2 linked regions of the Xenopus tropicalis genome follow. The protein of the gene in region 1 purifies or fractionates together with the protein of each later gene. This does not show direct contact. Links are inferred from orthologs where the notes say so. Each region holds a gene or a part of one and is shown in the gene's direction. Other genes may lie near its edges.

Region 1 (4,083 bases):
TAAGTCGCCGGTGGGATGGCACACGCAGCGGCACAATTTCGCGCAAATTGCTGAAAAAGCCTCGCGAGGCAACTTCGGCGATATGCGCGAAATTGCGCCGCCGCGTGTGCCATCCCACCGGCGACTTACATTTTCGCCGGTGGGATGGCAGGGGAAGGCAACTGGGGGAGATTAGTCGCCCGCGAACAGGGAGTTTTGTCGCGGGCGACTAATCTCCCCGTGTGCCAGAGCCCTAAAGGTGGAAAAAGTTCTGAAATGATTTATCTTTGTCTCATTTTTGTACAGCACAGGAACCTGACATTTTATCAAGGGTGTGTAGACTTTTTATATCCACTGTAAGGAGCAGCAAGATAGAAAGGTTTAGGACGAATGTGCGCAGTTGGTGTTGATGGTGTAAAAAGACAGAGACGACCAGGAACGTGCAGAAACCAGCAAACAAAAATGTAGCAAAGAAATGTTCCCACAGCACTGCCTGTCAGGAGTATGCATGATCATGGGTCCCTGCCCCCCAGGCATAATGTCGCCACCTGGCCAGTATTTTACCAGCCTTGATACCAGGCCAAATGGGTAGGAATATTATTTTTTTTACCAAACAGTGGCACTGGTAACCCAACCCATGATCCAAAAACAGAAGAGCAGGGTAATAGCTCCCTATGAAATTGCCCATAGGTGGGTATGTGACAGGGAACTGCATGCTCCAACGGGATCGAGAACGATGTGAATTTTAAAGTCATAAATGTATTTTCCAGTGCCCTAAGTGTGTATACGTTTGAAATAAAATTTCTGCATAATTTGTTGTTCCTGTATGCTATATCGTAAAAATGTTAAAGTTATATACATCCAAGTCCAACGCGCTCCACGCCCACTAATATGAGCCGTACCTCTTACAAATCACAATACCATGTTCTAAATATATCTGCGGAAGACGTCTACAGAACTGCGAACATATGCTCCATTTATTTAATATCACCGACAACTGCCCAAATATCGATAAACACTGCGCCAATAAACTAAACACGTAGCAAACGCAGATTCGATTCAGTTATTCTAGCTGCAAGCAAATTAGGAAAGCTAACTTTTGATTGGTTGATATGAGCTACACTATTACCGCAAATTTTAAGATTTGCCCTCAGTAATGATGGCGAACATACGACGTCACGCAGAACGCATCTTTCCGGCTGGCTTTTAATTGGACCACAGGCTGCACATGATGTGACAGTTGTCCAATCAGAGTACGAGTCCGCCGTTGGTTTGAAGTGGAAGGCGCGTTAGTACTATCAGGACCTGAAAACTTTTGGAACCAATTCAGTTTTACAAGAAGGGTCCGATGGCCGGTCAGCTAACACGTGAAGGGATTACCCTGAAGGGTAGCGCTGAAATCGTGTCGGAGTTTTTCTGTAAGTGGTTGGGGAGGGGAAGATAACCCTTATTGGTTGCAATAGCAGTAGCTAATAACTGAGCCTTTGGCATGGCTGATATGGGGACATGGATAGAAAACGCACTGACAATTGGACTCATGCAGTAAAGGAGGGACTACACGAAAATATTTTGCTGACAGTGTGTAAAAGTCCACCCCACTATCTGCTTGCTGAGTAAAGCTGCAGCTTTGGCCAGATAGAGCATGTGATTTGGAAGTCAGGCATTAATTGGTCTCCACTGAGCATAATATCCTCTTAGAGAGAGAGACTGGCACAATATGCTGCTTAAAATCGATATTTATTAAGAACTCAATACATCTTATTCAGAGAACAACAAAGCCCTATGTGTTTTTGTGTCCCATCTGGGCACTTCATCATAGGCCAAATCATTCCTGTTTGCATAATATCTTCTTAGAGAGAGACAGGTTGGCACAAAACCAGACTGGAGTAGAACTATACTGCTTAAAATTGCTATTTATTAAATATGTAATAGATCTGTTTCAAAGAACAACAAAGCTATGTGTTTTGTGCTCCATCTGGGCACTTAGTCATAGGCCAAATCGTTCCAGTGTGCATACTCCTGCTTCCAAAGATGGCAGCCACCAGCCCTGCTGCACAACTCTGCAATTAGACAACTGATATTGTGGTGGCCTGGATTTTGTAGACATTGGCAGTGATGCAGTTGAGGGGAGGGGAGCTGCTGTAGGTGGATACAATTTAAAAAAAAAAAAGAGTATGTGGGGGTTAGTGCTTCTTTAAAATTTTGAAAAACAGCAAGCACAAATTAACTTTTTTTTCTACAATGCTACATTTGTGTTGGCTGGCCAAGATCATGCTCCTTTTGTAAGGGGTGGCTATTTGCATACACTGTAACGCTACCAAGCAATTACTTGGCACTAGATTAAATAAAGTCAATTGAATCTCTGTATCTTAAGTGAACTAAGAAAAGTGTTAACAATAAAACTGGATAGGGTAGTTTTGTCACCAATATGGATTTATGCAACTTAGTTAGGATCAAGTCAAAACACTATTTTGAGGACATCCAGTATGGTGGCCACAATTAGTCACTCCTAACATAGAAGTGCCTTACAGCTTAAGAAAATAACTGTCAGTGAAAACCTTAGCTCTGTTGCAGTAAGGCTATACTTTGTGAGGTAAAAATACTTGTACCTTATGGAAACTAAGCTACACAAATCCATATTTGAGACCAAATGATCCTATGGGGTTTATTTAATGTATAAATAACTTTTGCAAACATATGGTATGATGATCCAAATGTCAGAAAGGTCCCTTATCCCAAATACCCTATGTCCAAAGCATTCTGGATGCTATACCTGTATTTTCACTGTAATAATAACCGTAGCTGCATAAATTCATATCTATAACAATCTAGTTGGGTTTATTTCATGTTTAAATGTTTTTCAGCAAAATCAATTATAGAAAAAAACCCTTACCCAGAAAACTACAGGTCCCAAAAATCAGGATATTAATCAGTCTGTTTTTGATCATATGTTAATTTTTGTTTGTTTTTTTTTCTCCTTAGTTTGTGGCATCAATAGTATTTTATATCAGCGTGGGATTTATCCATCAGAAACGTTCACACGTATCCAGAAGTATGGACTTACACTGCTACTCACTACAGACCCAGGGCTGAAAGAGTATTTAAATAAAGTTACCGATCAGCTTAAAGGTTCTTATTGGGTTTTATACATGATCATATCTTTATTTTTTTTATCTTTCTGTATGGTTTTGTTTTTGAATAGTTGTGGGTACCTTTCCATTTTCACTAACATATCCTAGATATGTCAAGGCTATATGTGAGAAAATATGGTATGTGTTAATTTGGGCCAGACTTTACTTCAACATACACATGCTCTTATTGTTAATGTGGTCTTAAGGGTAAGAATCAACAGAGCAAGTAACTCGCTCGAGAGAGATTTTTGCTATCGTGGGCTAGTCACCGTTGAAAAGGCTTTCCACTGGCAACAATAGGAAGCCCTTCGCGTTGCTTCGGTTTTCCTCCTCCTTGGTGCGACTTCAGAGCAGTTACATGCCCGCGATAGCAGAGATCTATCTTGGGCTAGTAACTCACTCCATGGGTTCTTACCCTTAAAGGAGAAAGAAAGGTAAGATCACTGAGGGGTGCCTCTGTTAGGAGAAAGCTGCACTGGCCCTGGGTACCTGAGAGAGCGATTCTCTTATGTCTTCTCACCACTTGCGCATGCACAGTTCTGTTGGCTTTGGGATCATAAAGAAAAAAATGACAAGAGGAATAAGATTGCTGGTGCAGGTTTCTCCTAACAGGAACAGCAGCCGAGGGTATAAGGTAAGCATTTACAGTCACTGGGGTGTGCCTAACGTTTTGGCACTCCCGGTGATTTTACCTTTCCTTCTCCTTTAAGCTATTAAAACAGAAATTGATGGGACATTTGGGTACAGGGGGTATTTGTGATCATCAGCTGATCAAATTTCAATCAATTTTTGTAAGGCAGTTGGTTTACTGTTAAACTGGACTATATTAGGTCATCTTTGTTAAAGCTGCCACACCATACTGAACCTTTTGAGTGGATGTTTATTAGAGATAAGTCTACAGTGGGAGGGTTTTTTTCTTTTCTTTTTTTTTTTTTTTCTAAATTTGAACATAGGAATGCATTTCCAATATAAG
Region 2 (4,104 bases), on another chromosome or scaffold:
GCCTTTGCGTATACATAGGAATAGCTTGCATTTTTGCGCAACGCTGTGTCAACAATGTATGTTTCAGAGAAATTTTTGCCCTTGATCCCCCTCCTGCATGCCACTGTCCAGGTCGTGGCACCCTTTAAACAACTTTAAAATCAGTTTTCTGGCCAAAAATGGCTTTTCTAGGTTTTAAAGCTCGCCTTCCCATTGAAGTCTATGGGGTTCGCAAAGTTCGCGAACTTTCGCACTTTTTGGCGTAAGTTCGCGAACGGGTTCGCGAACTTTTTTTTTGAGGTTCGCTTCATGCCTATTAGTAAGTCAGGTGTCTATATTATCCCTAAATTTTTTTAAAAAGAAAAGTAACCCTCCCAGCTGCCAACAGACACTCCAGCATAAATCCAACAGCGGAAGGGGGAGGATGAGGGGTCAGATGGAATCTTCAGTGGATGTGACAGTTGGGACATCAGGTGCAGGGATGCACGTGATGTCATGGGGGGGGGCTGCAGTTAGGTTTCATGCCTAGGTGAGATTTTAAAAGTTGTGGAATTTTCGCAGGGATGCACCGAACCCACTATTTTGGGTTTGGCCAAAATGAATTCTGTTGAATCCTGAGCCGAATCCAAATTAGCGTATGCTAATTAGTAATTCAGAAGGGTTAAAATTTGCCGCTCAAAAAAATTTTCCTCCCAAAATTTAACCCTTTCTGAATGCTAATTTGCATATGCTAATTGTGATTTGGATCTGCCAAAACCAAATCCATCATAAAAAGGCTGGATTCCGCCCGAATCCCAAACTGAATCTGGGATTCGGCGCATAACTAGAATTTTCCCCTGAAATGGATGCTGTCAGATACATTAGTTATTTTGAAGAAATGCTTGGATTTTTTTTAGTGTAAGAAAATAAAAGAATACTGGTATTTATACTTACTGCAATATAAAATACTGAAATAGAGACTGGCACAATTTTGTAGTCAGAAAATAGTTTTTATATAAAAAGCTAAAACAGAGACTGGTACAGTTTTGTAGTTAGAAATGAGTTTTTCCCTATTATTTAGCAATTGTCAGTATAACGAAACCTTTAATAATTCAAACAAAAACACCACATTTTCGCACAACAGTTTGAAACAAAGCAACACGTTGAAATAATGATTCCCGTATGAGCCGGAAGAAAGGGCAGGTTATTTCATCCAGATCCAATAATCGCACTGTTTGGTTGAGCACGCATCTAGTCTAGCAAGGTTTCCTTAACTAGAAAGCCTATTGGATGACAGAGTTCTCAATATCCGATTGGCTGCGACAAGCAAAGTTCTTTAGGATTGGTTGAATTCCCCAGCGCCTAGTTTGAATTCGGAAAGTAGCAACAGTCGGGAATCACGAGTCTGCTGAGAGCTGCCTGTCCCGGGAGGCGGTGGTTTCGGTCCGGGGCTCACAGGGTAATACCAAGGGTCATTATAACACAGGTTAGTTTTGTTGTAATTGGGAGATTCTACATATGTTTCTATATTCAGTACCTTGGTATGATCCCTCTTAGTTCACTGGCTTTGAGGTTTACTTCTTCTGTCTAGATATCTGCCCTATATGGTTTATTATTTATGTATTTATAATCTTTTCATACGAAGGTTGTCCCAGTGACTGGCGATCTATTGTGCTGCCACTAGTAACGCATACAGGGAGTTGTTCAAAAGTAGGGGTATTATATTTATTATTTGTCTGCTGGGTAATGCAGGAAGTATATGGTGGGAGTGCTGTCTAAAGCTAAGTGCTGTCTGTTTCCATATAGTGGGTCAGGCATTCACTGTACTGATAAAAGAATTGTCAGTCATTTCTTTGATATTATGTATTACTGAGGGCTGGGTTATATATATAAATGATGTTGTGTAATGAAGAACCTGGGGATGAAGGGGGAGGTATAAAATCCCCTGGAGGGCTGCTTATTTCCCACTGGCCTCTACTACCCTGTTGTGTAGGTGTTTGACTGCAGTTTCAAATATCACAGTGTGTTCAAGTGCCAGTGTGTGTCACAAGCCAGTGCTGGGCATAACGTGAGTGTGGCTTTGAGTACTCCCATCTTTGCCATTCCCTCATGTCACTTGCCGCTATGCAGGACTTTTATGGTAACTTGCTCCTAAAATGTCATTCATCTGCCCTGGCCTAAAGAGGTCAGGAAAGTGTTGTGTGTGAGTATACAAACATATATATACATTTTTGTATCATAGACCCATGGAATTTGTCCACAGGGAAACATATACTTAAGATGAATTATACCAGAATTCCTTTAACTATAGTACAGTTAATAGCTATTAACAATTTTAACAGTACCTACCCAATCACCTAAACAATATGGTTACATTGGAAAGAAGGAAATCTATTTATATACAGTGAAGGAAAGGTTTAACTGCATGTAAATAAGTCCCTTTCCTGTATACTTACTCTAAACCTGTTTTTTTTTTTTTTTCTGGTACAAAAGTCTTTGTTCTAAAATTGCAAATGTTAAGTGCACTGTAACCTGAGAATGTGTCAGTAGTTTTGTTTGCTAAGTCATAGGGAAGTGACTTATGAAAATGGAATGTGCCTTTTCATATGTGCACATTCCATTCTTTTAGATGATATTGAATATCTTTTCTTTTTAGGTGGTGGCTTTCACTTCTGATATTGGGTTATTTATATTCATGACTTAGTAAGCAAGACATTACAGAAATATGAAGTGAATGTTTTGTTAATACTAAAAGTCTTAAAGGGAATGTCCATGTTTTTTTTGCATAATGAAAGCAAATTATACACTATATTCCTGTATAGATTAAAATATACCTAAAGGTTAAAACACTACTACAAAAGTCCAATTTGTTGAGCTACTTACAGTAAGGGAAATCACCACTACTCTTTGGAACCCAGGCTGGTGTAGGTTTTTATTGAAAAATTGCACTAGTCCAAGTTATATTTTTCTAGGTGCCACACACCTCAGGGGGATGGGGGGGAAGGTGCATGTTGGCCAATCATGAGTGGCATTTTCTTACATGAGTAGTATTGTTTCCTCTGTCTCTATTATCCTGCACCTTCTGTGGGGCAGACCATAGGGTAATGGAACACTGGGATGTTGTCTGACACAGATTTTTGGTTGTGTTGTACAAGGGATTTTCTCCAACACCTACTAAAATTATGGTATTATCTGTTTATATATATATATATATATATATATATATATATATATATATATATATATATATATATATATATATATATATATATATATATATATATATATATATAATTTTAACTAATTCTTGTGCTGCAGAAATCCTATATTCAACAGCTTTCAGTTAATAAATATTGTAAGTTGCGGTTACCAGGGACAACACTACACCCTTCTTGCTCTCTTTATATCTGTGATGAAACTAGCATACTCTCCGAATTAGGTCAGTCACACCCATAAAGCATAAACACTGTACATTACACTCACTTTTTGTTTAATGTAGTGGTTCAGACATGATTTATTATTAGATATCACCATACTGTGCTATTAGTTCTGTGTTAGTACTTCTCTCCTAAGGGTCATGGCAGGTTTGCAAAAGTTAAAGCAGCTGGATATATCTATACACACAACTGAGTCTTTGATTTTCTGCATTTACTCAGTGCTACCATTACTTTCCCTACTAGGTACAGGGCCTGAATAATCATGGTTAGCAATGTTGTATCCCCTGGCATGGGACTGCTCTCAGATGATGAGGAGAACCCAGTGTTTGAATCTACTGCAGCTGAATGTGGGGCAGGAATCCGAAAAGCACTTCTGTCTGACTTCTCTGTCATCTCACCAGGACTGGGCCATCCTCCCCAGGTATAGAAAGTCAACCCAGTCTTATGTTTCTTTTCAGTCCAATGCTGGACAGCTTGCTAGGAGTGAGCAAGGTTTGTTCTATGTATTGTTTGTTCTATAACTTTTGAGCTTACAAATACTTATTACGTACCTAAGCTGGCTGTACACAGAAAGATTTGTTTGCTTGGGCAGGTCACCAGATGGTATGGCCAAATCAAACCAATACCAAATATGTGGGTCGGCAGTCAGTTTCAGACCACATCCACTGGCTTTTGCAGTCCTCCTCCAGCCAGATCTTTTTAGCTAGCC

Evidence for each region. The genes of interacting proteins can lie anywhere in the genome.
Region 2: the proteins of mad2l1 (region 1) and kif20a purify together in Homo sapiens (affinity purification with mass spectrometry; 4 studies listed by BioGRID and IntAct, with this or other methods). This does not show direct contact. The link is inferred for Xenopus tropicalis from reciprocal best matches to the Homo sapiens genes MAD2L1 and KIF20A.

What each region holds. Positions count from the first base shown.
Region 1 is NC_030677.2:71,054,971-71,059,053, reverse strand, and holds the start of mad2l1 (mitotic spindle assembly checkpoint protein MAD2A), read left to right. Parts: upstream 1-1,281; 5' UTR 1,282-1,327; coding exon 1,328-1,397; intron 1,398-2,961; coding exon 2,962-3,108; intron 3,109-4,083. UniProt on the Homo sapiens protein: Component of the spindle-assembly checkpoint that prevents the onset of anaphase until all chromosomes are properly aligned at the metaphase plate.
Region 2 is NC_030679.2:47,845,248-47,849,351, forward strand, and holds the start of kif20a (kinesin-like protein KIF20A), read left to right. Parts: upstream 1-1,301; 5' UTR 1,302-1,444; intron 1,445-3,638; 5' UTR 3,639-3,657; coding exon 3,658-3,816; intron 3,817-4,104. UniProt on the Homo sapiens protein: Mitotic kinesin required for chromosome passenger complex (CPC)-mediated cytokinesis. Following phosphorylation by PLK1, involved in recruitment of PLK1 to the central spindle. Interacts with guanosine triphosphate (GTP)-bound forms of RAB6A and RAB6B.